Oreochromis niloticus: one gene and its partner. The protein of the gene in region 2 purifies or fractionates together with the protein of the main gene of each other region. This does not show direct contact. Links are inferred from orthologs where the notes say so. Each region holds a gene or a part of one and is shown on either strand. Other genes may lie near its edges.

The links.
Region 1: the proteins of ssb (region 2) and ro60 purify together in Homo sapiens (affinity purification with mass spectrometry; 3 studies listed by BioGRID and IntAct, with this or other methods). This does not show direct contact. The link is inferred for Oreochromis niloticus from reciprocal best matches to the Homo sapiens genes SSB and RO60.

Annotation. Positions count from the first base shown.
Region 1 is NC_031982.2:9,732,151-9,747,753, reverse strand, and holds the start of ro60 (RNA-binding protein RO60), read right to left. Parts: upstream 6,843-15,603; 5' UTR 6,695-6,842; intron 6,638-6,694; exon of another isoform or gene 6,126-6,637; intron 5,745-6,125; 5' UTR 5,727-5,744; coding exon 5,156-5,726; intron 4,918-5,155; coding exon 4,697-4,917; intron 2,918-4,696; coding exon 2,771-2,917; intron 2,679-2,770; coding exon 2,541-2,678; intron 2,439-2,540; coding exon 2,322-2,438; intron 2,052-2,321; coding exon 1,935-2,051; intron 1,726-1,934; coding exon 1,528-1,725; intron 1,242-1,527; coding exon 1,089-1,241; 3' UTR 1-1,088. UniProt on the Homo sapiens protein: RNA-binding protein that binds to misfolded non-coding RNAs, pre-5S rRNA, and several small cytoplasmic RNA molecules known as Y RNAs.
Region 2 is NC_031987.2:16,033,426-16,049,218, reverse strand, and holds the start of ssb (lupus La protein), read right to left. Parts: upstream 5,973-15,793; 5' UTR 5,817-5,972; intron 3,917-5,816; 5' UTR 3,910-3,916; coding exon 3,850-3,909; intron 3,763-3,849; coding exon 3,659-3,762; intron 1,508-3,658; coding exon 1,333-1,507; intron 1,086-1,332; coding exon 978-1,085; intron 877-977; coding exon 773-876; intron 390-772; coding exon 318-389; intron 230-317; coding exon 187-229; intron 89-186; coding exon 1-88. Other genes in the region: klhl23 (kelch-like protein 23), read right to left, coding at 8,631-8,941, 9,021-9,173, 10,141-11,365; phgdh (D-3-phosphoglycerate dehydrogenase), read right to left, coding at 14,553-14,707, 15,422-15,644, 15,739-15,793. UniProt on the Homo sapiens protein: Binds to the 3' poly(U) terminus of nascent RNA polymerase III transcripts, protecting them from exonuclease digestion and facilitating their folding and maturation.

The DNA of each region.
Region 1 (15,603 bases), on a different chromosome or scaffold from region 2:
CATTCATATCAAGTTTTCTGGAAATGTAGCAGTTTTCTGTTGTTGCAGAACAAACAATGTCACATTAAAGATAAGGTAACGGGTATCAGAGAGCTATGACTGGTCCTTCCCAGATACTTTATTACAGTAAAATGTAAATTCTGATGCACAGAATTCAGACTGAAACAAAATTTTCAAAAAAAAAAAAAAAAAAAAATCCCAAACATTGGCGTTAGTGTGTTGTTAAAACTGAATCCAAATTTGCTTTATAAAAAGTGTCACCACATTTCTTTTAAAGTATAATCTCACAAGAAGAAAACCAAAAACTCAGCTTTAAAGCAATAAACTGGGCTTAGGGTCAAACAAATGTTAGAACAACTAAAATTTGTGGCTAAGCTAAAGCAAAAACTGTGTAAAAGGAATCCAAGATGTTAATACTTAAAGAAAAACTTTTCTGATCTAAGAAATCTGTGAAATTAACACAATAAAAAGCAACTCCAAGTTTTACCATTGACTTTGTATGCTTTGTTTCAGGTTTCTCTTTCACTGATGTTAAGTATGTCTAAGAAACGCTACATGAAATGAAGGTTTAAAGCATCTCTACATCAAACCTGCTAACTCATACCATAGATGCATGTTGAAAACTACAGGTAATCCCCCCCGAAGTAAACCTACAGTTGCAAACACCCTAAACTGCATTGTTCCACTTAACCTGACAACCTCTTGCTACAAATGTTGAATTGGTTCATTTTTTCCCCACTTAAATCACGACCCATCAAAATCCACCAAAGTACTGAACAGCTGATCATATAGAGACTCTTAAAAACATGATATGCAAACACATACCATGTCTTAATCACTTCCTATTCAATTTTCACAAAATATAGATGCAATTTACATTTCCAAAGTGTTGTCCAGCCCGCTGGATACTTTGTCGACTTAATGGTGAGCAAGAGAAAACAAAGAAAAACTGGAATTGAAATTGTCAGCATCTTTTAGATTAGTGCTGTTTTGGGACACTCTACATGCTAAATGAGCCTCATTGGTCCACTCTTTGCCTTCATATTCTACACTCATTACATTACTCAAGAAAAGTCCCCGAAATCTTATCAGATCAGATCTTGGGCCAAATTACGAATGACACTAAAAGCTCCAAGGTCGAAGCCAGAGATGGTCAGCAAACCCCGGTCTTCTGTGTCTCCGATGGCAAATCCAGTGTTAGTCAGGTCACACATCACCAGCTTCGAATTAGCTCCTGATGTCTGTTGAGAATATACACAAACCATGTTTATTGTAAAAATGTTACATTTGCCATCGTTACTTAGTACATATTTTAAGTAACCTTTTAGATAAAGGAGTTTAAAGGAGAACTTATAATGCTGTAAAATTAACTGTGCCCTATCAGCCATCTATGGAACAATGTGAATAAAAATAGCACATCAACCCCATCCCGTTAATCTTTGCTTGATATTGTATATTTTCAAAAACAATCTTTACCACACAAGGCCATTATTTAATTCAACTCCAGATGTGAAAAAACGAACATACTTCTCTGTGCTTCTTCAGAGACTCCACCGGGCTGGCAGTTAACATCAACAGTGGGTTGGTGCTCAAAATGACGAACACATCTACAGCTTTCCTGTTCTCTGTGGCCCATTGAATGGGAACGGTGCAGCCTCTGCTCTCACTCAGGAACTGCAACATAAAGGCACTACCTGATGGCTGTGCACCCCTTTCTCTCGTGCTCTATGTGAGAGGACAATAAACAGGTGGTAGATGAGCTAACTAGCACTGCTTTGCAGTACTTTGATGTGAAGGTGGAAGAAGAAGAAGAAAAAACTGCCTCTAGTTGCTTGTCTGTAACAAATAGTGTATTGTCAAAACTACCTTATTCCTGAAAGGAACTGTTCAGTCGCTCGTATTCTCTTCACCTTTAATGTTCTGTAAATCCTTACCTTAACCAGTTCATCAGTTGCTTCTTTGAGAGTCATGTCAGCAGAAATAGAGAATGGTACCATAGCCTCTTGAGAGTAGACCAGCACATGTGTGTCAGCCTCTGTCCTTGCTAAAATCTGTGTCAAAGCCAAGGTCAAAAGAAAGCCATTTAGTTACCCTGACTAAAATGCCTTTATCCTGCATGCACATTCACACACAGTACACCACTGTTAGGCCCTATGCGCTAACATACTGAGAAAGGAATTTTCAGGGAATTCACAGTATGCGTCAACAGTCCCACGCCATCACCCGGGATCTCTCTAAAGATGGGGCAGCCTGAGCCCTGTTTGAAGATGCAGCTGTTCTAACTAACCAGATGGCATCATCTGGCTGTAGTACAGTCTTACCATGGCAATAGCGGCTGCAGCAGCAGCAGTGCTGATCGACGTTCCTGGGACAATGCTGCTCGGTGACCCGCTCATATCTACTGCCACAACAAAGCATTTACCCACAGGCTCCACATTCTGAGGACAGAGTCACAGCAGAACAGGTCATTCATGTTAAACAACTGCTGCTGACATCTTCTGCAACGACTGGAGAAAGTTTTGAAAATTACAACAACATACCATAAAACTCTTGTAAAAGGCAGAGTCCATAGCTTTAAGGATGTTGCGGTCTGCTTCCCATTTTGGTTTACCCTGATAGCCATGGCCTTTTTTGTAGTTTTCTGTAGCCAAAAGTATACTGAAAGGGTGGATCTTTGCCTGGTGATTTTAGGAGACATTTAATTTATAAATATTGACCTCTGCATAATTAAAAACAAAATAACATTTCTGGTAGAAGTTGTGAGCCTTACCTGTTTTAGTGCAGTCTCACTTTGAATTCTGTCACATAAAAACTGTGTTTCTGAGCTTCCTGGTTCAAGAACTTTGCCAGATGTCAGCCTACCTAACATCTTTACCACCGAATGGAGAGGCATTTCCTTCAACAAAGCGCTCCATACCTGCAGAAAACAACCACCACACATCCTGTTAGATGTAGAAAAATAAATTTCCACATTCTTTACATTAGGCTTCAGTCTACCTGAACATTGCAGTTTTACAGATAAGAAATGTTTCGATTTTTCCCCCCTCCAGAGAACACTTTTACGCAGTGAGCAGGAACTTACAAGGGGCTCACCCCAACCCCCAAAAACTGGAAAAAAAAAAAAAAAAAGTCCTAGCAGTTCAGGAGGTGAGATAGTAAAGATCATTTATGGTATTTGGTGTTTAGGTAGTAAACAAGAAAGCAGTTACTTTTTAAACCAGGGATGTTTAACTTATTTTATATCAGGGGCCAGATACACAGAACTTTAATCTTAAGTGGGCCAGACCTAGGAAAGTCCCCTTTCTGTCAGTGTAATTACGTGTAATTGCACATTTAATCCCTCCAATATTTCAATATAAATAAAGAGGTGCAATTTCAACAGGGCGTCTCAGTTTTACTACATGATAAAGACATTCTGGTAGCTCATTTACCAGACTGTCCTGTAATTATAAAGCAGAAAGTTTTTGTTGTTTTATTTATTTTACTGTGGACACACTGTAAAAAGCAGGAATTCCTTTTGTCAGTACTGAAAACCAAAAAAAGGAACTTTTCTGTCATTTAATTGTTCATTTAATAATCTGATGTAGTATGCAAGACTGAGTAGGAGGGCTTCATCAGCAGGACAAGCTGTAAAATTTATGAAAATACAGGTGAAAGTCCAGCGGGTCATCCAGTGGGCCGGATTGGACTTTTTGCCAGGCTCTTCCAGGGCCTCGAGCCTTATGTTTGACACCCCTGTTCTAAATGCTCTGTTTGAATTAAAGATACAATTTTCTTTTTTTTTTTTTTAGTGTGAACTGCCGAGGGAGATTTTTGCTGATCACAAGCTTCTGAGAACTGAAAAAATAAACTTTTCTATCATTTGTGCTGCTACTGGAAGGAGGTACAGATTAAAAAACAAAACTGAAAATAAATTGCTGTACACCACCCTTTACATGGCATATTTTACTTTACCAAACAACAGCCGGTACAATATATTTATTAAACAAAACTATACGAGTTGCTTTCATTACTACCCAGTTTGTTTTGAACTTCACAAGCCCCATCTGTTTTTCACTTGCCTTCATAATTTTCCTCATAACCGTTTTTAAGCTTTGACTGCTCATACAGACACTGCTAGCTTGCACCTTCTCTGAGTTCTGTATTGCTTTAGCCACTTTGCCTTTTCTTGCTTCATATGTTCAGCTGGGTGAAAGTGATTTAAGTGATTAGATTTGTTGTTAAACATTTTTGTGGTCATCTCCCCATGGTTTTCTGCATTGGACACTGGTCTAGTCACTCAGTGTGAGCAGTTTCCCCACTTGTCAAACTGTGGTTATGAATGTGCGCTGCTTTACGTGTTCTCAGCCCAGTCAGTCACCAGTTTGGGCTGAGAACACTGAAAATCTTACTATTTCGTGTGCATTTCTAATTTTAATAAGATCCCAAGTGTAAAAACTGAATTCATCTCATCAATTATCACTACGATCTATGTTATAAACAACAACCAGGCCTGTCTACAAGACATCCTGTGTACGTGTCCCACCAGCTTTAATAACCCTATTTCCAGAAAAAATAATTGATCTGTCGGAAACTGCTAATTACTACTTACTACAGTATCACGGTGCATAACAACTACGGAAGTGCTTAGTAATAAAACAAGCGAGCACAAAAAACAAAAAGCATCTTAAAAAAAAAAATGATTTAACAGACTCACCTGTTTAAACTTCAGATGCTCGGTCAGCAGCTGTTCCCTCTCAAGCTTGTGTTCCTCTATTAAAGTGACGACCTCAGTTTCATCCCGACTGTGCTTTACCTTTTCCACCACTTCAAGATATGAAAGCACCCTGATAACCTCTTCGGCGTTCTCTTTGTTTTCATGAGCAACCTGGACCTCTTTCCACCCTTTTGTTACATATTTGCTGATCAAGGCAATAGCTGAAAACACAAAGAGATGGGCATTGCATGTTAGCACCGACTAAAGTGAAACAAAATAAAAACTTACACTGTACTGATTAAAATTCAGCATGGGGAGTTTATAAATATGCACATATATGCTCAGAACAGAGAACATCCAATAAAACCCCAGAGAAGAAAGTTGGATAACTGCAGACATTTATTCAACTGATTACTTCTAACATTCTGCAGGCTAAATGACGTGGGTCTCTATACTTACCATCCCTAGCTGGTTTAGTGTGGGAGAGTCTGAGCAGATCCTGGTGTGACCAGCCCTCTCTCTGCTTACATTTGGTCACTGCAGCAGCTAGACTCATGGCATCTTGCTCATTGTACCAGTCAGACAGTGCTCTCCTCAGGGCACGGCCCCATATCCCACATTTCATGTGCTCTTTTAATTCCTTCTTGTACTTGATGAAAGAAAACAGATGGGCAGGCTCACGACAAACATCCTTCAGGGCTTTGAACGCTGCCTGTTTGGTGTTCACATCTGGGTTCTGGGAGCACAAAGCCAAGGCAAAAATGGAGGGCTCCAGTCTGACAGCTCGCCCATCCTGAGCGAACCTTTTTATTTCCTCCAACACCTCAGCGCCTCGTTTCTCCTCCAACATGGACTGCAGGGCTCCAGTGTTCTCCAATTTGATGCGACCATTTTCTTTGGTACTGTACAAGTCCCTCTCTGAGCCATAGCAGAGGAAGCGACAAAGCTTGGCCTTGTCACTGATCTCCCATGAACCAACACCTGTTGAGTTCAGGGTATGGTTGCTAGTGGTACTTCCTGATAGCTCCATTGAAACACTTGAGGCGTCCTGAAACAGATTGTAGTAAAACGAAACAGTTCTAAACTTTATAATGAAATGGCACTGTAATTTGATTGTGGTATTTTATCTTATATTATAGTGAAAATGAAATAAAAGCTAACTACTAATACTAACGGGACGTAAAGCGTCCCCAGTGTAAATCAAACCATGGTTCGGATTTGACAGGATTGCGCAAGCGTTAATAAACCACCCAGCGTTTGCTAAGGTGGCGCTTACCACACCTTACTTAGGACATAAATTATCCAGCTACGTTGTTAAAATGCAAATTAAAATGTTTGAGCCCCTTCAACAACCTCTCGAGTTCAAGGCCAGCCAGAAAGCATGTATATGCACAAGACAATGTTAACTTCGCAAGCAAACATGACTTACTCATTGCCTCAGAGCGCTGTCAGAAATAGCTTAAAGCCGATTACAGAAGATGATGATACGCATAAGACAGAGAGAAGACACGCTGGTCCGTTAACAGGAGATGGTACGACAAGTTAACTACACGTCATTTGAAGTTAGCTGCGGAATGAGGCGCTAACAAGCTAGTCAGCCTTAGCTAACACTCCCGGTAGAGATTCGTTTGCTAACTTAACTAGTTAAGCTAGCAAAGGAGGGCGGTCTGGACAAGGTGAAGTAAGTTAGCGGTTTTAATCATTTAACAATAAAGTTAGGAATCTGACTAGTCATGTAGCAACTCATAGCCAGCCCAAGTCTCCTCAGTTTCCCCAGCCGTGACTTGGCTGCATAGTAATGATATTAATGTTAGCCGTCAGCACAAAACTATCAACTCCCCAATCTGAGCTCCTCTCTGGCTGGGACACCGGAAAGCACTTTGATACAGCTAGTCCAGGATGGCTACTAACATACGCTAACCCTAACAAAACTGTGTTGGTTTTACTCAACACATACTGTTTGCGAGTTGAAATAACATGACATAAATATCCACTTACCACCACGTATGTACACAGTGCTCAAGTTTTTTGGGTTGTTTTTTTTTTTTCTTTAATGTAGCTAGATGCGGAAAGGCCTCCCCGCAGACCGTCAGTGAGATAACAGGGCGGTGCCGCGGTGGATCCCGGGATATGGAGTAAAATCACACAGGCACATTCCCCCAGGGTTCTCTCACTTTGTCTCCATACGTTCACATTCACTTTTTTTAGTGGTTCACAATCCACTGAAAAAGACTTGAGCCACCTGTCATTTTTCTATATTTTGCCAGTAAAACGGGAAATAAGTGCAGTGATTTATTGAAACATGCGCAAGTCAATATTTGGTATGACGATCTTTATTTTTCAGCACAGCCTGAACTCTCTTATACAAGCTTGTAATTTTTTCTTTAATGTCTTTAGGAATAGTTCTCCAGGCTCCAGGTTCCAGCCCCAAACTGTGACAGAGCCTCCACCATGGTTATTGGATGGATATAAAAACTGTTGTACCTTTGTTCTAACCTCCTCCGTACATACTTACATTGATTTAAATAAAAAAATTTCAATCATCAATCCATAAGACCTGTAACAACAGGTTTTAAGCCCAGTTCTCATGAAATTTGACATAGCTCAGCTTTTTCTCCTTGTTTCAAATCTTCTTTCAGGCTGTTAAGAATGTTTATGGCAATTTTATTAGTTTCGGGTAGAATAAATGGGAACAAAGGGCTGTCTTTGTCACTCCTGTTGATAATTTTTATGGACAGAATTTCTAGGCGTAGCCAGATTGCAGAAAGCTTCCACTTTGTTGGCCTCAGAATAGCTTTCTGCTTTTTGCAGATGATGTGGTTCCATTGACTTCATCAGGTGGTGGCCTCCAGCTCACACTGGAGAGGTTTGCAGCCAAATGTGAAGCAGCAGGAATGAGAATCAGCACCTCCAAGCCTGAGGCCAAAAAGAGTGGAGTGCTTTTGTTTTGTTCAGTCTATCAACATAAAAAACACTAACATTAGCATGTCTATGTCACGAAGAATAAATCATACATTTTGATGATTTTGATTTCCATCAGATGAGAACAATGCATTAAAACATATAGCCAGTCTTCCAGATAGATTTCCTATCACATATTTTCACTTTTCAAAAAACAAACACACTTTCTTCCATCAATTCCAAACTGACCTTCAATGTATCCAAAAGGGCCACAGAAACGGGACCCTTTTCCAACTTTCCGAGCTTGTTCTATTCTAGGCTTAAGGCATTTTCTTTCCTTCCCACTGCAAATCCGATACCTTTCACCTTGCAGATCTTTCCTTTTTTTATATTTCACCTGTTTGTGAGTGAGAGAAACGATCACACGTCTTTGTTTTTTGTGCACCTTTCCTCCCATTCTGTGCGCATATACTGATAATATATATTGTTAATATAAATATATTAATAGTATATTGTTTATATTTGACAATGTTATATTTTTTCTGTAATACCAATTTGTACATGAAGAAGGTGTTTGACTATCTGTTAATTACCATCTAGTAACAAAACTGGCTATAAAAAACCTGAATAGTTTCACAGCCGATGGAAAAAATTTACTTGTTTTTCACTTTTATATTTAGTTTGTACAAAGCAAGAAATTCTAATGAAAATGTATTATTTTTCTAACAGCCCAGTGTCAAGAAGCACCTTTGCCAGGATTCAGTGTATTTTGTATGGTGGAGTACATTCTGCAAACCCCATCAGTGTTCATCACGGCCATTTCCATCTTTTTCACAAGATCCACTACCTTCTGTTCTTCAGCATTGTTCTCCTTAACATCATACCTACCAACACCTCCTCGTCACCTCTGTTTTCTTCACCTCCACAACACAAGTTTTTCCTTCAAGATGACCCCTGCTTCATTTCTCTTCCGGGCGACAGCATACTAAGAGTATTAGTAGTTCCTGGCCTTGCTTCCCTCCCACCTGGTTTCTACCTCTCCTTACATCCTTGCCTTTCCTTCTTTCTTGATGCCTCTGAACATGCCTTCCAACAGCATCAGAGGTTGTTGTTGTTGTCCACAGATCTGACTAATCTGGTATCGAAATGTTCTTCTCGATGATCTACATGTTTGATTTACCTAAGATATCACGCAGGATGCGCTTCCTGACACAACTCCCCGCATTTATTCTCACTTGGGACTCCATTTTTTTCTGGTTTAATATTGTAGGGTCTGTATTAAACAATATAAAGAACCCTGCAGTGACAGTCGCTGGGAATTGGTGCTATATGAATACACTTTAACTGAAAATTAAATTGAAAGTTGACTTGAACTGAAAGTCAGTGCACTTGAAGGGCACTGACTTGTGACCCATCTATGGTTGGGTTAACCTGGTTGTAACCAGTGGTTATTTGAGTTACTATTGCCTTCCTATCATCATGAAGCAGTTTGGCAATTCTTCTCTGACCTCTAGCTCAAGCTGTTTTTACCCAGTGAACTCCCGCTTACTGGATATATGGATATATATGGATATTGTGACAAAAAAAGAGCTCAGTAACTTCCCACTTACAAATTAGACTGATTAGAGATGTCGAGACATTTAAAGGAACTCAATATACATAGTTAAAAGCATATTTAATAGTGAAAAACATCTAAAATCTTCAAAATTTGAGAAGTAAAATTGCACAAATATCAAACCTTTTACAATTTTCTGCTCTAAGCTTGCATTTCATATAAACTTACATAATTTCATGTTAAACAATGTTTACATTTTAGATTTTCTCTCCCCTCATGCAAGAACAAAAAGCATCAAAGAAACACTTTGCAGCAAAAACAATTATTTCTGGAGATGCTGTTTTTTTCCACACTTCAAAAAGAGAAAAGCAAACTTTTAGGAACACATTATTTATAAAATTATCATGAATCAAAGTGCAACATTATAAATGATGAAGAATTTTTTTCATTTTTCATGCATTTAAATTGTGAATCTTTGGAAAAAAGAAAAAAGGAGCAGGTCAAATATATATATTTATATATATTGGTAAAAATTTGTGATCGTGTGTAATTAAGAGCTATAATAGAGATGGGCAGTAATGCGTTACTTTAATTCGATTACTTTTTTCAAGTAATGAGTAATATAAAGGATTACTATCGCAAAAAAGTAAATAGATTACTGTTACTTTCCCGTTAGCACGCTCCGTTACTGCGTTACTAAACCATTGTGATTTTGTTTGTGAGAGTGTCTCATGACCAGTGTTGGGTAAGTTACTTTAAATTAGTAACTTAGTTACATTACTAGTTACTTCTCTAAAAAAGTAACTCAGTTACTTCAAGTTACTCGTTACTTTCAAAGTAACTAGTTACTAGGGAAAGTAACTTTGGTTATTGGAATTCTCTTGTTAATGTGTTGCTTCCGTAACTGGATACTCAGCAAGATTGCCAGTCTTCTAGCTTGCTTGCTTGCCACAAGTGCACTGTGCCACCTACCAACAGAAAGGAAAAAATAATGTGCACATTTCCACGAGAGAAATCCCACGCCTGGACCGTCGTTGACCGCCGCCATGATTCTAGCCTGCTTTTTACATCCAACACAAAAACTGCAGTCGTGGTGCTTTTGATTGTACTCAGAACTTGGAAATTCTGCCTTCTGAATAGGAAGATGTAGGTAACACCAGACTGCAGATGAGCTGCATACAGGGCTGGACTGGGACAAAAAAAATCATCCCGGGCATTTTGACTAGAGACCGGCCCACCAATATAGGAAAAATCATAAAGCCTTTGAATGAAAATAAACACTGTTGTGACAGTGATGTACACTGTTCTGATGGTATATATGTATCACTCTATCAATTGTTTGTTGTAAGACTCAGATAATTATTTTTTTTAAAGCGAGACATTTTAAATGAGAATAATAAAGAAAAGTATTTCCTTGTCCCCCCCTTTCCCTGTTAATGCCCTACCTGGCCCCCTGGCAACACTTTGCTAGACCCGCCCCTGCACAGTTACCAGCTGTCAGCTACTTAGAAAAGGATCCTGGTGTTATTTGTCTCTCAGAAACAGTTCATAACTTCCCTTCAACTCATTCATGTCACCTAAAAGGTAAACCTGTTTCTCCATCACCTGTTCAGCTCTGATGATTCAGTAAGGACATCTCCTGGTTTCATCTTCATGTTTCCCTCTCACCAGATAACCAAACCGATATCATGACCAGCAGCTTTACAGCTGTGGCTCCAACAAACATCAGCTGATACTAGAAATGAATATTAAATAAATTCTAACAACAGCTGATCAAGCTTAAACGTGCTGCTGTTGTTTAACGCGACATCCGCTGGTTTCCTCTTTCTGGCGCAAAGTGGGCGATAAATAAACAAGAGAGAAAAGCCGATCAGCTGATCATTGATCAGTTTCGTGATTGAAGTAGAAACGTGAGAGAATGAGAGAAGAAGAGGCAGCTGTGCAGCTTCAGCTTTGTGTCTTTTTCATTGTAGCTGAAGTCCGGGACAAACTGTGTTCCTTTTCACCTCAGTACGAAACGCGTAATATTTTCTCTGAATACGAGACGATTCTGTTTTTTACGGGACGGTTGGCAACTCTAATAATTAACCGTATGAACAAAATAAAGTTCAACATCAGTAACATAGCACCCACCCAGCTGTATAGAAACTCCGTCATGCTAGCTAGCACGCAGTACGAAAATGTCAGCATACCGAAAATAAACTCCACCTAAACTTGGTTTATATCTGACCCAGATAGACTGCAGGTCATAACTTCTTACCTGAAGTTCAGTTCACCTGACACGCGGACCGGCGGCCGCTTCGGGTCTCTCCTCTTGCCTCCCTTTTCCTTCATCCACCTGCTGGCCTCCACCACTTGCTAATGTTACTGAATCTGTGGAAGCTCCGCGATATCCACCACACGAAGTAACGAGTAACGAGCCTATCTAAATCCCAGTAACGAGTAACGCGTTCCTGGTTTTGGCATAATAACTAGTTCCCGTGCTCGTTACCACAATAATAACGTAGTTACTGTAACGCGTTACTTAATAACGCGTTAGTCCCAACACTGCTCATGACAATGACATAAGCACGTGCAGGGCTGGACTGGGACAAAAAATCGGCCCGGGCATTTTGACTAGAGACCGGCCCACCAGGTATTATGGTAAAAACCGTCGTTGTGACAGTGATGTACACTGTCTTGTTGGTACATATGTATCAATCTAGAACTTAAACCTACACCATCCTCCCTATTCTGGTATTCTAAACAGTACTTAGCCGAAACCCAAAGACTGCTTGGTTTACCTCCTGAACTTTCTACAACACATGGAGGAAACCTGAAATTAAGACCGAAGACTAAAGGTGAGACATGACCATTACTGAATATTAAAAAATAATGACAGATTTAGTGATATTTTCATAAACTATTTATTTACCACATCAATAAACAGCATGGCAGGGCAAAATATTTTTTCTAACATGGCAACCTTTAAAAAGTGAAAGGAGACAGAAAGGTGAGAAAGAATAAAACTTCCTCACTCAAAACTTACCATCAAAACTTAATTTTGATGGTATTTTACACACAGTACTGGTACAGTATCTAGAAAATGTGGGAAAATACTGGCATCATATACAGTACTTAGTTCTGAAGAAATTATGCTGGGACCCTGAAAAAAGTACTATGTACAATAATGGATTTCTATACATTTGACATCAGATGAAAACTTTGGTTGTATGATTCAGATAATTATTTGTTAAAAGCTAGAAATTTTAAATGAGAATAAGAAACGTATTTTTTGTTCCCCCTCCCCCCTTTCCCTGTTAATACCCTACCTGGCCCCCTGGCAAAACTTTGCTAGACCCGCCCCTGCACAGTTACCAGCTGTCAGCTACTTAGAAAAGGATCCTGGTGTTATTTGTCTCCCAGAAACAGTTCATAACTTCCCTTCAACCCTTCATCCCTCCAGCAAACATCAGCTGATACTAGAAATTAATATTAAATAAATTCTAACAACAGCTCATCAAGTTTAAAGGTGCTACTGTTGTTTAACGCGACCTCCGCTGGTTTGCTCTTTCTGATCGGGACAAATCGCGTTGCTTTTCACCTCAACTTTAAAGTTCGACCTCCTCGGCTGTAATTGGTCCAGCCCAGAGTCGATCATGACCAACTGGCCAATACACCACTATTCATTTATACCGTTGAAAAAATAAAAGAAATAAAACCCCATCGGCCCATAAAAACGAAAAATCACGAGCGGCCCACCGGGCAAATGCCCGGTATGCCCGATGGCCAGTCCAGCTATGAGCACGTGCAACGCCTGCAGCAGCAACAGACTTGTGTAGATCAACAATGGATAGTATGGAGTGCGGGACAGAGTACGACTATGCAGCTTTTAAAGCTTGGACGTACTTACATTACTTTAAGTTTTAGTTGGTAAAAAGTGACAAAAATATTAGCGTCCGCTGTACACTCTGCGTGGGAAGAAAATGTCTTTCTACTGCTTAATTATGTATTCAGGTTGTGTATCATGTTTTTAAAAAGTAACTAAATAACTAAGTAACTAATTAGTTTTGAAAATAAGTAATCAGTAAAGTAATGGGATTACTTTTTTGGAGTAGTAATCAGTAATTAGTTACTAATTACTTTTTTCAAGTAACTTGACTAACACTGGTAATCAATCTCATCAAGGAATTACAAATCATCAGAGGTGTGGACTCGAGTCACATGACTTGGACTCGAGTCAGACTCGAGTCATTAATTTTATGACTTTAGACTTGACTTGAAAAAAGGTTGTAAGACTTGTGACTTGACTTGGACTTTTACACCAGTGACTTGGGATTTGAATTGGACTTGAACCTGTTTACTTGAAAAGACTTGATATTTTACCCAAATCTAAAATTTAACATACATATTATATAAAAAGTGCGGACCATTAATTCACTTTATTCATTCATTCATTCTTACCACACTCCGTATGTATGTGAGCGTGGGCTGTAGCACAGCCAATCAAATTAACCAGATTTGAAAAAAACAAGAACAAAAACGCTCGAGCCAAAAATGCTCCCAAGAGTAATTTCTTTCGGGTACATAAACTACGAAGTAGTCAACAAAAAACGAAATGCAATATGCAAAACATGCAAGAAGAGAATCACAGATGGAGATGGAACAACTTCCAACTTTGTCCGACATTTGAAGTTGCATAAAGAACGGTAGGTGGTGCTTTTTTTTTTTTTGCTACGATGAAATAGCTGACTTAGCTAAGTTCATCTTATTAGCAAATGTTCTTCGGGCTACGTTGATGATACTGTTTGGCTTTAACAGGTATGATATGTTTGTCATGCTATTTTAAATCCGGTCCTGCAAGCGCATCCAAGAATAACATGCAACTTGTTAGCTCAGAATTGTCGGTGAATGGTGAGCAGGGTCCGTTTCAGAAAGTGGGTTCTGTAGCTGTACTCAGTCTCTCTCCGTCTCCTCCCCATCATTAACCCCGTAGATTTAACCCAGTTTAGACTGACAAATATTTATTTTACCATCACATCACAATTCAAAATCACTGTGTTTAATTTGCAATTAGTGTATGGTCGTGTTTAACTTTTGCATGTCTGAGCCAGGGAAATTTTTTTTTTTGGTTAGAAAATCTGGCCCACCTTAGTGTGTAATTGAGTAGTCCTGCTATACATGGCCTTTTTCTTCTGTCATTTATGTCAATACATCAAATAAAATATTTTGATCTTGTTATTAGCTGTTGTTTATTTGCAAAGGTTATTCTCAACAGGGATGCTAGACAAAAACGGCGTTTTCTACAGACAGCCTAGCATACGCTCTCCACTTGCGAGTGAAAAAAGAAAAAGAAAAACACCCCTTCCCTATTGGTGTTAGAGTTTACCATGTCAGCCAATCAAAAAAATGATAAGGCAACATGTGACATTTGGTTGTTTAGGGAGAAGGGGAAGTTTTTAGGAGTGACACCCGCGACGGAAAGCGGGCGAGCGAAAGAAAGAGAGAGAGAGAGAGTTTTCATATGTGAGACATTAGTGACGTTTAGCGTGTTTGGAGGCTGTAGTTAGTTTGTTGTGTAGTTATTGTTTTGTATTGTGTGTCGGTTAGACTGCTGAATTTCATATTTGATCTAAAAAAGCTGTCAAAGGCAGATTCCAGTGTAAACGCTGTCTCCACATAGAAAACTGGACTGTTGCACGTCCAGTTGTCAGACCTGCAGGGTTTAGGCCTGTGGTGTTCTCCTCTGTCTTATACTGAATACAAACTACATTTTTTGGACTGGCACAAATAATTTGTGTGCCTTCTTATTTGATGCAGCACACCTGATTGTTCTGTAAATAGATTTAAATGGTTATATAAAAAACCCCTGAGGCCTTGGCTGCATTTTTAGGTAAATAGTACCATATAACTTTGTTGTTTGCAAAACTTGTGCATAATTTTTAGAAATGTACAATTTCTATTTGCATTTCAAGTTATGAAAATGATTCGTTAAACATGTAAAAAAATATAACTTTTTTCTACTCGGATTCTGAATTTTTTGTCTGAATTTAGATCAACTGTGCTAATATAGTATACCAAAATGAAAAAAATAACTCAAATTTCAGATATTTGAGGTTGTGCTGTAAATAATGATACCAAACAAGGCAAGAAAAACATATTTTAAAAGTGAAATATAGAAGTAAAATCAAAAGTAGTCAAGAACGGCCAATTATACCCGGGACCCCAGAGGGTTAAAAAAAAGACTTGAAAGGACTTGAAATTCAAAGTTTCGGACTTGGGACTTGACTTGAAAGTTGTCTGTCTTGACTTGCGACTTGACTCTGACTTGCTTGACTTTACTTGAGACTTGACTTGTGACTTGAGGATAAAGACTTGGGACTTACTTGAGACTTGCAAAACAATGACTTGGTCCCACCTCTGCAAATCATCCACCAGTTCTTCAGAGCTCAGTTATAAATGATTAATAAGA
Region 2 (15,793 bases):
ACAATTCATGGAAGTCTTCTCTTGAAACACCTTCAAGCTCTCCTGAAAACTTCAGTAAACGTCCTGACTGCTCATCCAAAAGCAGATCCTGCAAGTAAAATGAGAAAACATCATTACAAAGCCTATTTATTCTTTAAGTTGTGCGTTCATTAGCAGACTAAGCTCACAAACACTTGGAGAGCTTACCATTTCTTTTTTTTCTGCATGTTTCTGCTGTTGTTCCTTTTCCCTGAATAAAAAGGACAGAAGTAGGAAGGTTATTTTTCACAAAATGTATAATCCAGTTTTATGATTAAAGATACAGAATATGTACTCACTGTTTAACTTTTGCTTTTGTCTCTGCTTTAAACTGTTTTTTCTCTTCTGCCTTCTTGGCATGGTAGGCTTCCCTGAAAGAAAAAAAAACAGCTGATCAATTACGTTGTTTCACACAGAGAAATTCAAAGGTTTGCAAAACCGACATGATCGAACGAAAAGTGCACAGCAAGCTGAAACATCACCAGCAGTGCTGTTACACTGTTCACAAGGTCAAGTACGATGGGCCTGTAAGTCTGTCTTGGCCCAACAAACAAAACAGTTTAGTTTCCTTGTTCAATTTAAAAGGTTTTTTTAAAAAATTATAAAAAGTTATGCAAGCTACTTCATCGGATTTAAGGGCATTAAAGTACATATATGACACATCTGCCACACCTCTTAAATCAGTGAATTCTTCATTAAATCACTGACACAATTGATAGCCGCTAGCTAGTGCCTAAAAAGCATCACAGCCTACCTTGATAACACAAGCATCTCGTTGTCTTTGAATGATTTTATATCTGTGCGCTCTAGGAACTGCTTGGCTGACTCTTCAGTGTCAAAACAGATAAACACAGATCCCTGCAAAGACAGAAATATAAAAATTATATAAGAGAAGGTCTCCCAAAATTGAAAAACATAAAAATAAAAATTATATACATCTCAAGTTGTGTTTCATGTACCTTGAACTGCCTTTGGAGGTTTCTCCTCATCTGAATGTTTTCTACCGAGCCTTTCCCATTCAGCCAATCCTGAATCTCATCCAGGGATGTTTCAAGAGGGAAACCTTTCTAGATGAGGAAAAAACGAAATGTAGGGAAAACAGTAAGAATACAATCAAGGTGGAGAATAATTATTATTTTGTCTACACAATTTATAAGAGTGTGGGTAGGCTAAAGATGTATTGCACTGTTGCATTACGCTGCATTAGTTTGAAAAAAAATTAAACTTGTCTGAATGCCAATGTGAGCACAAACAAATATTTACGTATTCAATGCATTTGCATACAGTTTAAAAAAAAAAACTAAAAAAACTTGCCATGTATACAGATTTGTGTTTAAGTGCATCCTTGTATTCATCGTTCTGTTCGGGTAAGGGCTTGCTGGGAGACCTCCTGATCTTTGTCTTGTCTTCACTGATTTCCAAGAGACCAGTCTTTGACTTCTCCAGAGCTGCAATGAGGACGCTGCTGTCTGTGGTTAAAGACTTCAACCTATGAAAAGAATGCAAATCTTTCAACAAACACCTGGCTACAGACGGCTGTAAGGCTGTGTTTTAACGCTAATGATGCATGCATTCATCTGCAGTATAAGGGAGAAGACCCTGCAGCTCATCTAATCTTCCCTCTTTGAATTCTCTCAGTCTGCTCATGTTATGTATGTGAGTGGGGTGGGCACTCTCATTTCAAGTAATAAAGCTCAATTAGAATGTAATTTGCTGACTCACACACAACATTACATTCTAAATATACACTTCAATAAAGGGATTACAGGAATGGATTCCTCCTGCTGTGTTAATTTGCCCTTGCTGTGGCCACTTGTGACCTGGCTGCTAACAAGTGAACTTGAGGCACAGCATGAGAGCATGCTCTCATCTCATCCTGCCCATCATGAATCACAGAAAGGGTCCAAACACACCGATTAGTCATCACTATCCTCCTCTTCTTGCTCAGCCCCCCCACCCCAAGCAGCTATACTCAAAAGCCTACCCTTGTCCTTGTGGACTGAAGGTTGTTACTGCAGCTTCAGTATGTCATGTTGTGCTAGTATTTTTATACTAAGTGGAATAGAACTGCAGTCCATACAAGGCTGTTTTTCACAACAATAAATATAATAAATAATATACTGGTTTTAAGCTAGTTAATTGCCAATTACCGTCAGCCCTCAATCACACCTCCTTTAGTCATTACAGGTGTGGTGAAGAGAATAACGCCACTTCAACAATGCAGTAACAGCAATGTGAATGCACATTGAAACTAACATTCACTACAGCCACAGGCACTGTCTCCTCCTATTAGCTGCACTCGCATGCTGCATTTAAAGATCCTCACACACATATACACCAACATGTGCTCTGTAGCTCAGGTGGCAGAGCAGGTCAGCCACTAATCAGAAGGTCGGTGGTTCGATCCCAGGCTGCCTCCTGGCTGCATGCCAAATATCCTTGGGCAAGATACTAACCCCATGTTTGCCTACTGGTGGTGGTCAGAGGGCCCGGCGGCTACAATGTAGCTTGCCAGTGTGTGAATGTGTGTGTGAATGACTGAATGTAGTGTAAAGCGCTTTGGGGTCCTTAGGGACTGAGTAAAGCGCTATACAAATGCAGGCCATTTACCATAATATCCAAAACTACAACCTCTAGAGCAGCGGTCCCTGGGCCTCGGACCGGTACCGGTACGTGAGTCGTTTGGTACCGGGGCGCGAGAGTTGAGGCTCAGGTGTGAAATGTATAGTTTTTATCAGTTTTCAGCGTTATTTTGTTATCGTTTTTATCGGTTTTCCTGGGTCTTTTCACGTGGGTTATGAATAAATCTTCTTTTTTTCGGTACCGGCACTAGTTTTATTTTGTTGCGACACCTTATTGCCGGTCTGTGAAAACATTGTCGGGCATAAACCGGTCTGTGGCGCAAAAAAGGTTGGGGACCGCTGCTCTAGAGGATGACAAAACGTTGAACTCGATAGGACACTTTAGCAGAAATTGTCAGATCATTTTACATCATGTGTCAGCTTTCATTTATTAATTTTCTGTGGCTAAATTCTGTGTTTTAGTGGGCTTTACGGTCAGTTTTCCATGCTCATATTTCAGCAGATAAAGCAGTGTTAGAACTGCACTGCACAGAAGGTAAGCACAGTGTTTAATGCCGAGTTGTGATAAGCATAGTATTTAGTTAATCTGTAATAAAAAGTGTCTAATATAAGCAACCAACAAATTTACCCCACAGGTATATACAATTTCACAGTGAAAGAAATTTAATTAACAAATTTACAGAGTAGATTTTATTGCAGCGTCTCGTAACGTCAAACAACACCTTAAAAAGTGCATCTAAAATTCAGTCCTAAGTTTAGTTAGAGACCCCAGATGATCACATTTATAAATACACAATGCAATCAGCTAAAAATCTTAAGTTAAAGAGACTTCTCATCAATCAGTAAATAGATCAGTAGTACTGAATAGTAATCTAAAGTTGAACAAACTGAAGATAGCGCCTGGACTTTGAAACCCCACTTAAATACTTCAGAGTAGAGTCCTCCCCCCCCCCAAACAAAAAGCATAGGTAAATAAATGAAAGCCAAAAATAGAGATTAAAATAAAATAAATACAGTTATAATTTGACACGGAATGCATTAAAGAGAAATAAACAAACCTGTTGAATTTAAGCATCGTCTCCAAAGTCACCCAGCCATCATCAACCTGCAGCTGCTCTTTGAGAAACCGGTCTCTTGGAAGATTGTGATCGCCGAAGTAGTACTGGGTAGGAATAATTTACAGCCAAATCAGGACCAGTTTTACCTGGTAAATACCAAATTATGAGTTTAAACTTTAAATTTGAAATACCTCGATCTGTCGCGCCACTTTCGCCTCCAGTGGGGACATCTCTTCTTTACTTTCTGCCATTTTGGTTCTGCATAGAAAAAACAAAACAAAAAGAAAGGTGTCCTCCTGAGTTAGAGATTTCTCTGATGTTTACAACAAATATTTAAATAAAGAAATCTTATAAGAAGAGATTTTATCCATGTTATATATGAAACAAAAAAGTCGAAATGTTTTCTATCTTTAGTGTGCCAGAGGGGAGCTTTTTTGTATTAACTGTAAATTTTATATTAATGGCAGATTCCCAACATGTGGATCGCAGCCCTCTGTTGGGCTGTGAAGGTACTGCAGGTGAGGTCATTCACAATATTTATCTATATTTAATCAAATTTCAATTCACTTATCTAAATTCTTGATTGTTATAAGTTTTAAAACAGACTGAACATACACACACGCACACATAAAATCCTATAGGATAAACTTACAATTTACGATGCACTCTTATTGGCCAAATCAATTAAGATTTTGGTTTTACTAATAAATTAATAATTAAAGATTAAAAGGAATAAAATTTGGATTAAAAAATGATTATTCTATAACAAATCCCAAAAAAGTAATTTTGTTTATAATTTGCAGGAATTACACTTTTAATAAGAAGCTAAACTAATGAAACAAAGCCTTGACACTTAAATATTTTCATTATTTTTCATTTCATTTGCTTTTTGATGTACCTCTTAATTTGTTAGAAATGAACTCTGTTGAGAATCAAGTAAAATATCTGAAGGTCAAAAATCATGACAAATACTTGTATGACAACCTGTGAAGTCAAAAATCTAAACAATCTAAAACATGGCAAAGATTACATTTATACAACAGGTTGTTCTAACAAATATTAGACTTTAGTACTCAAAGAGCCAACTGTTTTAAACAGGAGGTATAAAATGACTAAAAACAGAAAACTGCCAGGTTTAGGCAACCTGAACTATGTTAATGGGAAAAGGGGCTTTTTCACCCCTAGAATTGATATTTTATGTTTGTAAACACAGAAAGTTCCATTCCCCTTTGCTGTAGTGAGGACAGCGCAGCTATGTGGCCATTTTCTAGGGATGCTGCTCGACATCAGCTTATCCGCAAACCAAATGATATTTACGAACCTCCCTAGCCGACATTCATTAATGTTGTGCTGGCTGAAAGTTGAAATATAGTACGAGGAAGAGTATAAAGAAATCGCTAAAAACAAACAACAAAAAAACCCAAAACAAACAAACAAGTAAATAAATAAAATCCAAAACTGAAAGACAACATACAAAAAAAACGAACTAGGGAAAAATTATGATCAGCTATTGGCCACGTTGTCATATTAAACACTGCTATGAGGCCTTGCTGTTGTCTGAGTTTTTGTAAATTATCTGCAAGGCCATATAGGAACCATCTTTAAGACTTAATTATATTAACCAAATTAATAACGTAATGCAGTTAAACAGTTACATGCACTTTTAAACAACATTTAGTTGCTGCATATTTATATTTAGATACGCGCCTTCAGATAGATGCCCAGATTTAAATCTTACAAAAGGGAACCCAAACCTAAAATTGTGAGTTGTAGTACATCACAGGACTCAACCAACGTGTTTCTTTCGTCATAATTAACTACAGGCTCATCTAGCTCCACGGCTAACCTGTTAGCTTAGCTCTTTCAGTACACGGGCCACGCTTGGTGTCAACACAACAAAAGCAGCTTCTTATTTGTCTATCCACGCTATCAGTACATGTTTTAATCAATTACGTGATTTGTTAGTGCGTGAATTACTTTTTTATATGTAAATTAAAGTAGTCACCGCTACTCTGCTAACATTATTCTAGCTGCAGCACGCTGTTCAAACCTGCTTGAAGAAAATCCACTCTGTTCTTTAGTAACGTTATAAAACACTCCCTGGGTAACATAGAAAGCCTTAAACATTGTTTTCACAATCGTAAAAAGTTGCACTTACATAATGAGTCGCAGCTAGAAGCAGTTTAAGCCGCTGAAACCAACAGTCCTCACTTCGCCGCTCGCACGTTGGAACTGCGTGCTACGGAGCCCACCGAGGACCAAAAAGGACTCATGTTCGCGCAAGCTCCTCTGATCGCTGCAGCTGAACAACAAGAAATCTGGTCTTTTTCATTATGTATACGTGCTAATGTTTTGGAATAATTTTCACTAGTACATATTTGGGTAATCAGATAATAAAAATAAAAATAAAGAAACTTAATCTATCCGTGGACAATGTTTAAATTCATTAATTATTAAATTGATAAATCTTAGCCAGAGTGCACTTTAAAATCATAAGACGTTACCTTCTTACTTAAAAGTTTAAGCAAACTGATCGATGTGCATTTTGTTTTTCAAACACACTAAGATTCCCAAGCCTGAAATAAAAATAACGTAAGACTACAAATTTATCCAAAACCTTCAGTATTCTTGTACATGTTCGCATACCTGTTAAACTTTCTTATGCCTTCATATTTGCGCTTAAAAATGTAATTTCTGTTTATTCTTTTGTTTTTTGTTTTTGCTAAGTCACGTATTTACGCGAACAGTGTGTAAATTTGATGCCTATATTAGAAACTGCGATGATATATCACAACCACAAGATGCCGCTGTGATTCTAATCATGGCGTTTAGTTTTTATGTGTCATTTTAAAGTTTTTGTTTTTCGTATTTATTAGTTTGTTTTTTTATTGATGTGTGTACCTTTTAAAAACAATTATAGTAGGACTTCAGTTGCACCGTTTGTTGCAAGGAAGGTCAGACTTTTATCAAGGCTGACATTTCATTAGCTTAAAATAATTTTGCCTCGTTCCTGACTTTGTTTTGAGAGACATCCACATTGTATTTTTATTGTTGTATGTGTGACGTAAATATCACCCACCTAAGTTTGGGAAAAGACTGTTATTATTATCAGTATTTTTCTCTTTTGACATCAACTTTAAAAAATGTAATGTAGCTCGTCTTTTTTCAATTATTTGAATTTAAGATAAGATAAACCTTTATTAGTCCCTCACGTGGGAAATTTGTTGTGTCACAGCAGAAAGGAGACAGTGCAAAGTTACAGCAACAAAAATTAAGAAAAACAATGGAATAGGATGAGATAAAAAAAAAAGAATAAAATACTATATACAATAGAATAAAATACTATGTTGTCAGAAAAATAATTACAATTAGTGTTATTGCACATGTGCGGATGTGTGTGTTTGGTCAGCTGCAAAGTCTTTGTGTTGTGTGTTTATTATTTATTTATTTTCATTTTTATGTATAATATTTATGTATCTGTTATATACACTTGCCAGCCACTTTATTAGGCACAGGTTAGGTACAGTGTTGTACCCCATGTTAGTTTGTGTCACAGATTCACTAAGGTGCTGTCGACATTCCACGGAGATTTTGGTCCATGCTGGAATGATAGCACCACACAGCTGCTGCAGATTTGTCAGCTGAACACCCGTGATGAGAATTCTCTTCCACCATAATCCCAAAGGTGCTCTTTTGGATTGAGATATGGTGACTGTGGAGGCCCATTTGAATACAGTGAGCTCACTGTCATTTTCAGGAAACCAGTTTGAGATGATTTCAGCTTTGTGACATGGAGTGTTATCCTGCCGGAAGCAGCCATCAGAAGATGGGTACACTGTGGTCATAAAGGGATGGACATGGTCAGCAACAATACTCAGGAAGGCTGTGGTGATTAAACAATGTTCAGCTGCTACTAAGAAGTTGAAAGTGTGCCAAAAAAATATTCCCCATACTGTAAGACCACAATCCTGAACCTTTGTTACAAGGCAGGATGGAGCCATGCTTTCATGTTGTTTTTGCCAAATTCCTTTCATCCGAATGTTGCAGCAGAAATCAAGACTCATCAGACTAAGCAGCATTTTTCAATCTTATATTGTTCAAATTTTGGTAAGTCTGTTTGTACTGTAGCCTGTTTTCTGTTCTTAGCTGACAGGGGTGGCACCCAGTCTGGTCTTCTGCTGCCAAATCAGCCCATCTGCTTCAAGTGGTTATTTGAGTTACTGTTGCCTTCCTATCAGCTCAAAGCAGTCTGGTCATTCTGTCTTGGATCAGCTCGCGATCTGCCACTCACTGGACATCTTCTCTCTGTAAACCTTAGAGATAGCTATCTGGGAAAAACTCAGTAGATTAGCAGGTTGTGAAATGCCAACAACCATGCCACATTCAAAGTCACTTAAATCACCTTTCATCCCCATTCAGTTTGAACTTCACAGGATCATCTTGAACATGTTTACGTGCTTAAATGCAATGGGTTGCTGCTATGTGACCGGTTGATTAAATATTTGTGTTAACAAACAGTTTAACAGATATAACGAATGAAGTGCCAAATAAATTTCTTAAGTCCATAAAATTCACTGAACTCAAACAGAACTCCATTAGCATTTTAGTACTTTGTTCAATCAAGGTACAACCTGGTACACTTCTACTAATAAAAGTCTATTTGTAGTGTGATTTTTAAATAATACTTATTAGATTATAAAATGTCATCTTCTCTTTTTTTGCATTTCTTTTCAGTCTATTTTAAACAAACAATCAAACAAACAAAAAACGCTCAACATGAGGCCCCTGAGTTTTGTATGAAAAGCTGGTATTCATCACTATATTCACAGTTTGGCAAATAGCTTCCTAAAGGATCTGGTGCAGGCTGACATGCTGTGAGATAAATATGAAGTGTGGAATATTAGCTCTCTTCAGTGAAGTCACTGTTAGATCCATTTGGCACAAAATAATCAGTAAACAAAAATTTGTGTCACTAAACACCATAAACACAAACACAGCCATGTGACCTGGTCGGGCTGGGGAGAGTCCCCACTATCTCCCACGAGTCCAGCTCAGGGTTATATTTCTCAATGCTTTGAAGGTAAGTCCCTTTGGAGTACGAGTATCCACCTGTTACGTAAATACAACCATTTATTACCACGGCCCCACACTCCATCCTCCTCTCCTTCATCACCGATATCGGTCTCCACTCGTCTCTCTCTGTGTCGTAGCAGTCGGCAATCGTCGTCTGTCCACCCACCACATACAGCTTGTTGTTGAGAGACACAGAACACAGCCCGTACTCTGAAATGAGAGGAGTTCACCTTAGAAAACAGCATTTAATATACTCATGCTTCTGTTTGGTCTTCTTTAGCACGCATACCTGGATGGGGACTTATTGTAATGATGCTCCACTCGTTGACATCTGGTCTGTACACCTGTGTTTTTTCATAGGTGCAGCTTCCTCTGTAGCCATAATGACCTCCGGTTACATAGATTTTATCTCCCATTACACACGCAGTAGCATTTCCTACACCTTCAAAGAAAGCAGAGATCATAAGCATCACTTGAACAGTCCAAACTGTCTATCACGTAAAAACGATGATACCTTAAGTATTCGTTTTATCACTTCATTCATACAAAGTTACATATATATATATGCACAGTTCAAAGGGACAGTTCACGCAAAATCAAAATTATATGTTTTTCCTCTGGCCTGTAGTGCCATTTATCCATCTGGATCATTTTGATGTGAGTTGTTCAGATTAGCAGATATCAGCTCTATCAGATTCTGGTTTTTCTTTAATAAAATGGAAATAAATGGCACTTGACATCTGGTTATCAAAGCACTGTTTGGAAAAACTCAGCAGCTTTCGCAGAAACTGTGGCCTAGTCATTCAAAAATCTGCAAACCTTGTTTCAAGCAGTTTCAGTTATGAACTTCTCTATTATTTGCTAAGCTATACCCCCACAGTTCATCTAACCATGCTGAAAAGCATGAGTTTTCAACAGTGTGACACTATCTAAACATTAATGATGTCTCCTTCTGCTGAGCTGTAATGTTAGCTGCCTGCTCACTCCCTTTGGGTGGTGGATACAATTCTTAATGTGAACTCTGTCGGCTTGTTGTTCTGTGCAGAACATATAATAAATAGCTGCTACCGTAAATGGTAAGAGTCACACAAATGATTGTTAATGATACAGTTTAAAAAAAATATAATGACATTTGATTCTAATGCTCATTCTTGAACGTAGAAACAACAAGTCCCATCTATGAGCTGCTCAGGAGCTTTCAGTCACATGATCTTCATCAGCAGATGGTATTATGACCATGTGTTTTAAACCACAGCTTTTCATCCTATATGAGTAAGAAGCCCATAAAGAACTCATAAAACTCCACTAAATGGACCTTGTGGTGAAACTGCTTTCTCTGCCTTCATTTATTCATATCCTGCTCATCATTTCAGCCCTGGAGATAAAACAATCCTAATATTTCAGCATACCTTGGATCATTTTGGCCACAGGGAACCATTTCTTTTTTAAAGGATCATAAAATTCGGTGTCTCGTTCGGGAGCTCCTCCCCGGTAGCCTCCGATGGCATAGATGCAGCCGTGCAACGCCACAGAGCAATGGTAGTACCTGGCTGTAATCATGGGGCAGGCCTCGGTCCATTCATCACAGTCACAGTTATAAATTGAAACAGTGTCCAGGGCCTCAACAGTGTTTGTCTTGTAGCCACCTGTCACATAGATATTTGCACCAAGTAAACTGACGCTGTAGCTCTCTCTTGCATGGTTGGGCATGTCCTTTCCTTGCACCCATGTGTTGCTGACAGGATCCCAGATGTGGACTTCACAAAGAGGGTGCCAATAGTACCCTCCAATGATATACATGTTGGCAGACATTTTTCTAGCCACAGGTATCTCTTTTCCATTTGACCTTAAAGCCTGGATGATTATAGATTTCAATTTCCCATCATTCTTCTTTAAGTATTGTCTATACACGTCTAACGTGGTCTTAAAGTAAATCTCATCCAGATCCAGATGGATGGAGTGTAGCATAATTGAAACGTGGTGTAGGCGATTATCTAAGTCATGGTTTGCCCATGTGGCGACAGCATCTATCAACACTTCATCTTTCTGCACAGTGAGGCTCTGTACAGCCAAGACTTCTCTCATCTTCTCAGGGTGCAGATCTAGAAACTCCTCTTGCTGAATGAGCTCCGGGAACCTGCTCAGCATCACTCTGCGTGCCTCCCTTTCCAGCCCAGGGCACAGGTGCAGCTCAGCGAAAGCGTGCATGCCCAGGCAGTTGTCCACATCCAGGAGGCGAATGAGAAACTCCTCACATGCTTGCTTCACAGAAACGAACTGCAGCAGATCTGCAGCCTCTAGCAGGCTCTGCACGTTGCTCTCAGTGATGCACACCTGAGCAGTGTACACATAGTCCACCAGAGCACCCAGCACCCCGTAGTCTATGCCGCTCAGTTTGATGACGCTGTTTGATCTCTCCTTCATGTCAGCTGTGAACATGACTTTGAAATAGGAGCTGCGGGCTGACAGCAGCGCCTTGTGGCAGTGAAACACCTGTCCGGACTCGCCACACTGCAGAGCGACATCGGTAAACAGCCCGCTAATGTAGAAGTGCCTGAGCGCATCCAGGAGCTCTGCCGGATGGTCACCATCACAGAAGTCATATGTGTAGATTTCGGCTTGTTTATGTGACATGATATCTAGAGAAGAGAGATGGAGAAAGTATGTGTCTAATGTAAGGCAAACACACACACACACACACATAGTGGGTTGGCAAACATCAAAGCAATACCGAGGCGTCACATTCCCATTTATAATTAATTGCAGTGTGACTGGTCATAGAAGAGTCTCCGCATTTACGCTTTAATCCATGTATCCAAGCAGGCAAACTGCTTGATTACCACTCACCCTATTTCCATGAATGACTCGAGCTTTTTTTCTCTCTCTCTCCTTCCACTGTCCTCAAGCTCTCCCGTCTTCACCACACATGAGCCTCAATTTAGCTCACGCAGGACAGTCGCAGGCAGGCAGCTCGATCCTATTTTGGTATTTGTGCGCAGCGTCCATAACCCCCTCCTCCTCCTCTCTTCTCCTCTCCTCTGCTCTGTAGTCTCAAACAGCGGGTCCTTGACAAAACTCCTTCAGAGGAATCACCCAACCCCACCGTTTTCTCTCAGAGTCTAAATATAACCTCCATCCATCCACAGTCTCGTGACGCGCTCACGGACGGCACATTTTCTGTGCACCCAGCAGGCGCAAACAGAATACAAATAGTATACAAATGAGCGTCGCTTTTTACTAGGGCACAAGAAGAAGAACGGGAAGACGACGACGACGAAGAAGTCATTGCACTGGTCCATTCATGTGTTCATCATTCTTGGCGTTGCCATGGTATTCTGAACCCAATTCCAGTGCGGTAAAGGCTTTAGCTAATCCTAACGAGGATTAACAGCACAGGGCTGCAGAGACGGAGACGGAATATGTGTTAATCTCAGCAAATCATATATAATGAAACAATATTACTGCATAAGAACTAATGTAATAACAGAGCCTTTGTAAAAACTTTTTTTTTTTTAAGAGAGATTGTTTTTTTGTGCCGCACAATAAGCCGCCTGGGTTTACAAAGCAACAGAATGGAGGGCTGTGTATGCTGTTACCTGAGAGTTTAACGCTTAATGCTGAATTAAAGGGGAAAGCGGTGCAGACTGGACTCAATGCATAACTTAATGGCCAAGTGAGAGAGATTTGACTGGCAACTGTTTTGCATAAATCTTCATAAAAAAGCTACCTTCCCTGAGACATGCTGTTTCTTTTCGTTTTAGTCCAATGCTTGATTTTATTCATGAATTTATTCTATCGTTTAACTGTTGTTAAAATGAGCAGTGCGACGGTCCCACTCAGTATTTTCTAAACGTTTAACTTATAAATCAAACAAATGATGCTGATAAAAAAAAGCCAACTGAGGTAAAATATCTAATCAAACTTTGAAAATGAATCGAACTTTGTCTTTTGTTACAACATCATAACCGGCTTTATGTAACACAGTAGTAAGTCTGTGTGAACGGGTGAAATTGTTTAATTTTATATTAAAGTGCAAAAAAACTTGAGCTAACTTCTTTATAGTTTGCTTCCAATGAGCCAGACTTGTAATTTTGTTTCAAGTGGTCTTAGGGGATAGCTCTCTGGGCTTCCTGAAGGTCCTTTGCACATTGGCTGCTTTTTCACATATCAGTCCAGCTCTTGTAACTCACCATTTTCATAGGGATTTATTTTATTTTGTTTTGTTAAGCACTTTAACATTGATATATGAATCATTCAAGCATAAAAAGCCACCTTAATCAAGGGATGAACCAGTGTTGTGTCTACACATAACAGACAACTTAGCAAAGAGCCAATTATAAATTGTATCTTTAGCCACTTTATCGTACAAACACCTAATTTGTTCCTTTAGTTGAATCTATGAAAAATTCCATCACAGTTTGACAGGCATTGCAACAACAGCATGATTTCTAAAGAGGTATTATACAAAATTAAAAAAAAAAAAAACATGGCATATCTCAGCATGCCATTCACTGTGACCTTAATAAAAAATTAAGAAACTGGACATGCAAAGGACAAACAAAAGGTTACAGGCCTAAAAAAAACAAACCCTGTGTTCAGCAGATGAACAGCATCTAAAAGTCATGTTCTTAAGAAAGAATGGGAAAAAAACAGCAAAGTTTATCCATCTACTGGTGACATTAGAAATTGCCTCAAGGTGGCTGTCAAGAAGTCGTTCTTAAGGAAGGGAAATGAGGAAGAAAAGGCTGAGGTATGCAAAATTACACAAAAACTGTATTGAAAATCAGCGACAACAGGTCGTTAAAGAGTGAACAATCCAAATGTGAAATGCTTGTTTCAAATCCATCATCCAATATATGGATGCAGAAGAATGCCTGTTGTATCTGACATTTACCACAAGCCATAGCGCTTTGCTGTGGATGAAACAGACTGTGTAGGCTGGACTAACTGCATGACTGATTAGGCAGCGGACACAGATTGAATTAAGTTTTTCATGCAATGATTCCACAGATTCCGTTATTTAATCTATTTATTTATTGTTGAAAAATACACTACTGTGGCACCCACTGTTGTTTTCTAGGAGGATGGAGTAAAATATGTCTTTGCTTAAGGATTCAGAGAACTGAGCATATGCACTGCATGTGGTAGGACTTATATTTTCTGAAGGTCTACAGAAAATATAAGTGAATGCCTGTTTCTGGCTGCTCTGTTTTCAGACACTGAGCTGAAATGCATTCTTATTGAGAAGTGGAAAGTAGTGAGATGAGATGATCTAAAGTGAGTGAGATTTCCATGATGCCACAGAAACAGATTTACATGTGAAAAAAGTTGTGTTGTTGCTTGCTTATACAACCTACAAAGCAGCTTTCTTCCACTAGCTCTGGGATGTGTTGTGCTATCTTACCAAATATTAATAACAGTGGGGCAAAAAAACCCATAGAACTGACACAAATCACACATTTAACATTTTAATAGAGGAATTATTGAAGGGCCGTCGTACTGAACTCGAGCTGTGTAGTGAAGTATTTTTAAAATATAAAAATATAATGCGTTCAAATTAGAAAGTCTTCTTTAAAAGGATCAAACAACAAACTGAGCAGCGTACAACGAACATTTTTATTTAATTTCTACTTCTACAAGTTAATAAAAACATCTAAACACTGGAATGTTATAAAATGCAGGTTTTAAACTGCAACTTCTGAACGAGTTGTTAGCTGTAAACACAAAGACCGGATCATTTATATTAGACGCTCCTGAAAATGTTACAGATCTCACATCCTGAATGCTATTCAGTGCCTCTGTAAGTGCTTTGCGCTGTCATTTAAAAGCCGAGCTGCGCTGCATCCTTCACCACGGAGTTCAAGGCACTGAGATCTCTCAAGAGAGAGGACACCCCCACACAATACCACAGATCCCCAGAGCGGTCTGCAGGAGCACTGAAAGACTCAATCTCCACTCCCTCTGTGGCCAACACTCCTAAACAAAGAACAATTGAAGAGAGAAAATAGGTGTGAATGGAAAGAAAAGAAACATTGGTGAAGGTTACAATTTAGTTCTCATAACTCAGGGCCAGCTTTCATCTAAATTCAAACTCAAAAACAAATGTGCGCAAAGAAGCAGTTGAGGAAAAACAACAAGAATGCATGCTTTGTTTTCAGAGAGACAGTTTAACAGACATGCAAACTATCTACCACCAACCTAAACTTTCCATTTAATTGTTCTGAAGTGAGAAACAATTCTAACTCTTTACATTGTGTTGAAGGTTACTGCCTTAGCCTCCAAAACTGATGGAACTAAAGGAAGTTAAATTAAATTAATTTGTAAAAGACTGAAAAGAAACTCAGTTACTGATTGTGAATGTTGAATATACATTTGAATATACAATGAGGGACTGTTTGTGCATTCTTTCTAATGTCCAGCAGGTGGCGACTCTATTGCACTACTGGTTTGGACCTGCTTTTTCTCTCTCTTAATACTTTGTTGCATGGATTCAAACAAGTGCTGAAACAAACCCATATTGATATGATAGAATTGCACAGTCGCTACAGATTTGTTGGCAGCACATCTATGCGTCCACCATGTCCCAAAGCTGCTCTACTGCAATGAGATGTGATGACTGTGGAGGCCATTTGTGTACAGTGAAATCTTTTATAATCACAGATTATAGTTTTGACGTCTACATTTTCTTACCAGCCAGTGAGGACAGGAGTTGAGGATTCGCAGGGGCCTTAAAGAAGAGCAGATTTCCAGTGAGAGAGATGGGCTGTCTGAACACGCTGTTGCACAGCTCCAGGAGGACAGGCACTCCACCTTGAACTGAACCGCTGGCTTTATAGCTGCAGCCAGTGGCCGCAATCTCCACCTTACACACGCCTTCAGCGGCCCCGGCAGATGCACAGTGGGCCTGGTTAACCTGAAGAAGTTGAGATAAATGAAAAAGATTTATTTGACATATATTCCACTTGTTTTTCTCATGTTCTATTTGCCTGAATAAATTGAAGGTGTACCGTGATTCCAGTTTCCTTAGCTAAGCTCAGCGCGTTGATGAGGTTCGGGCAACAT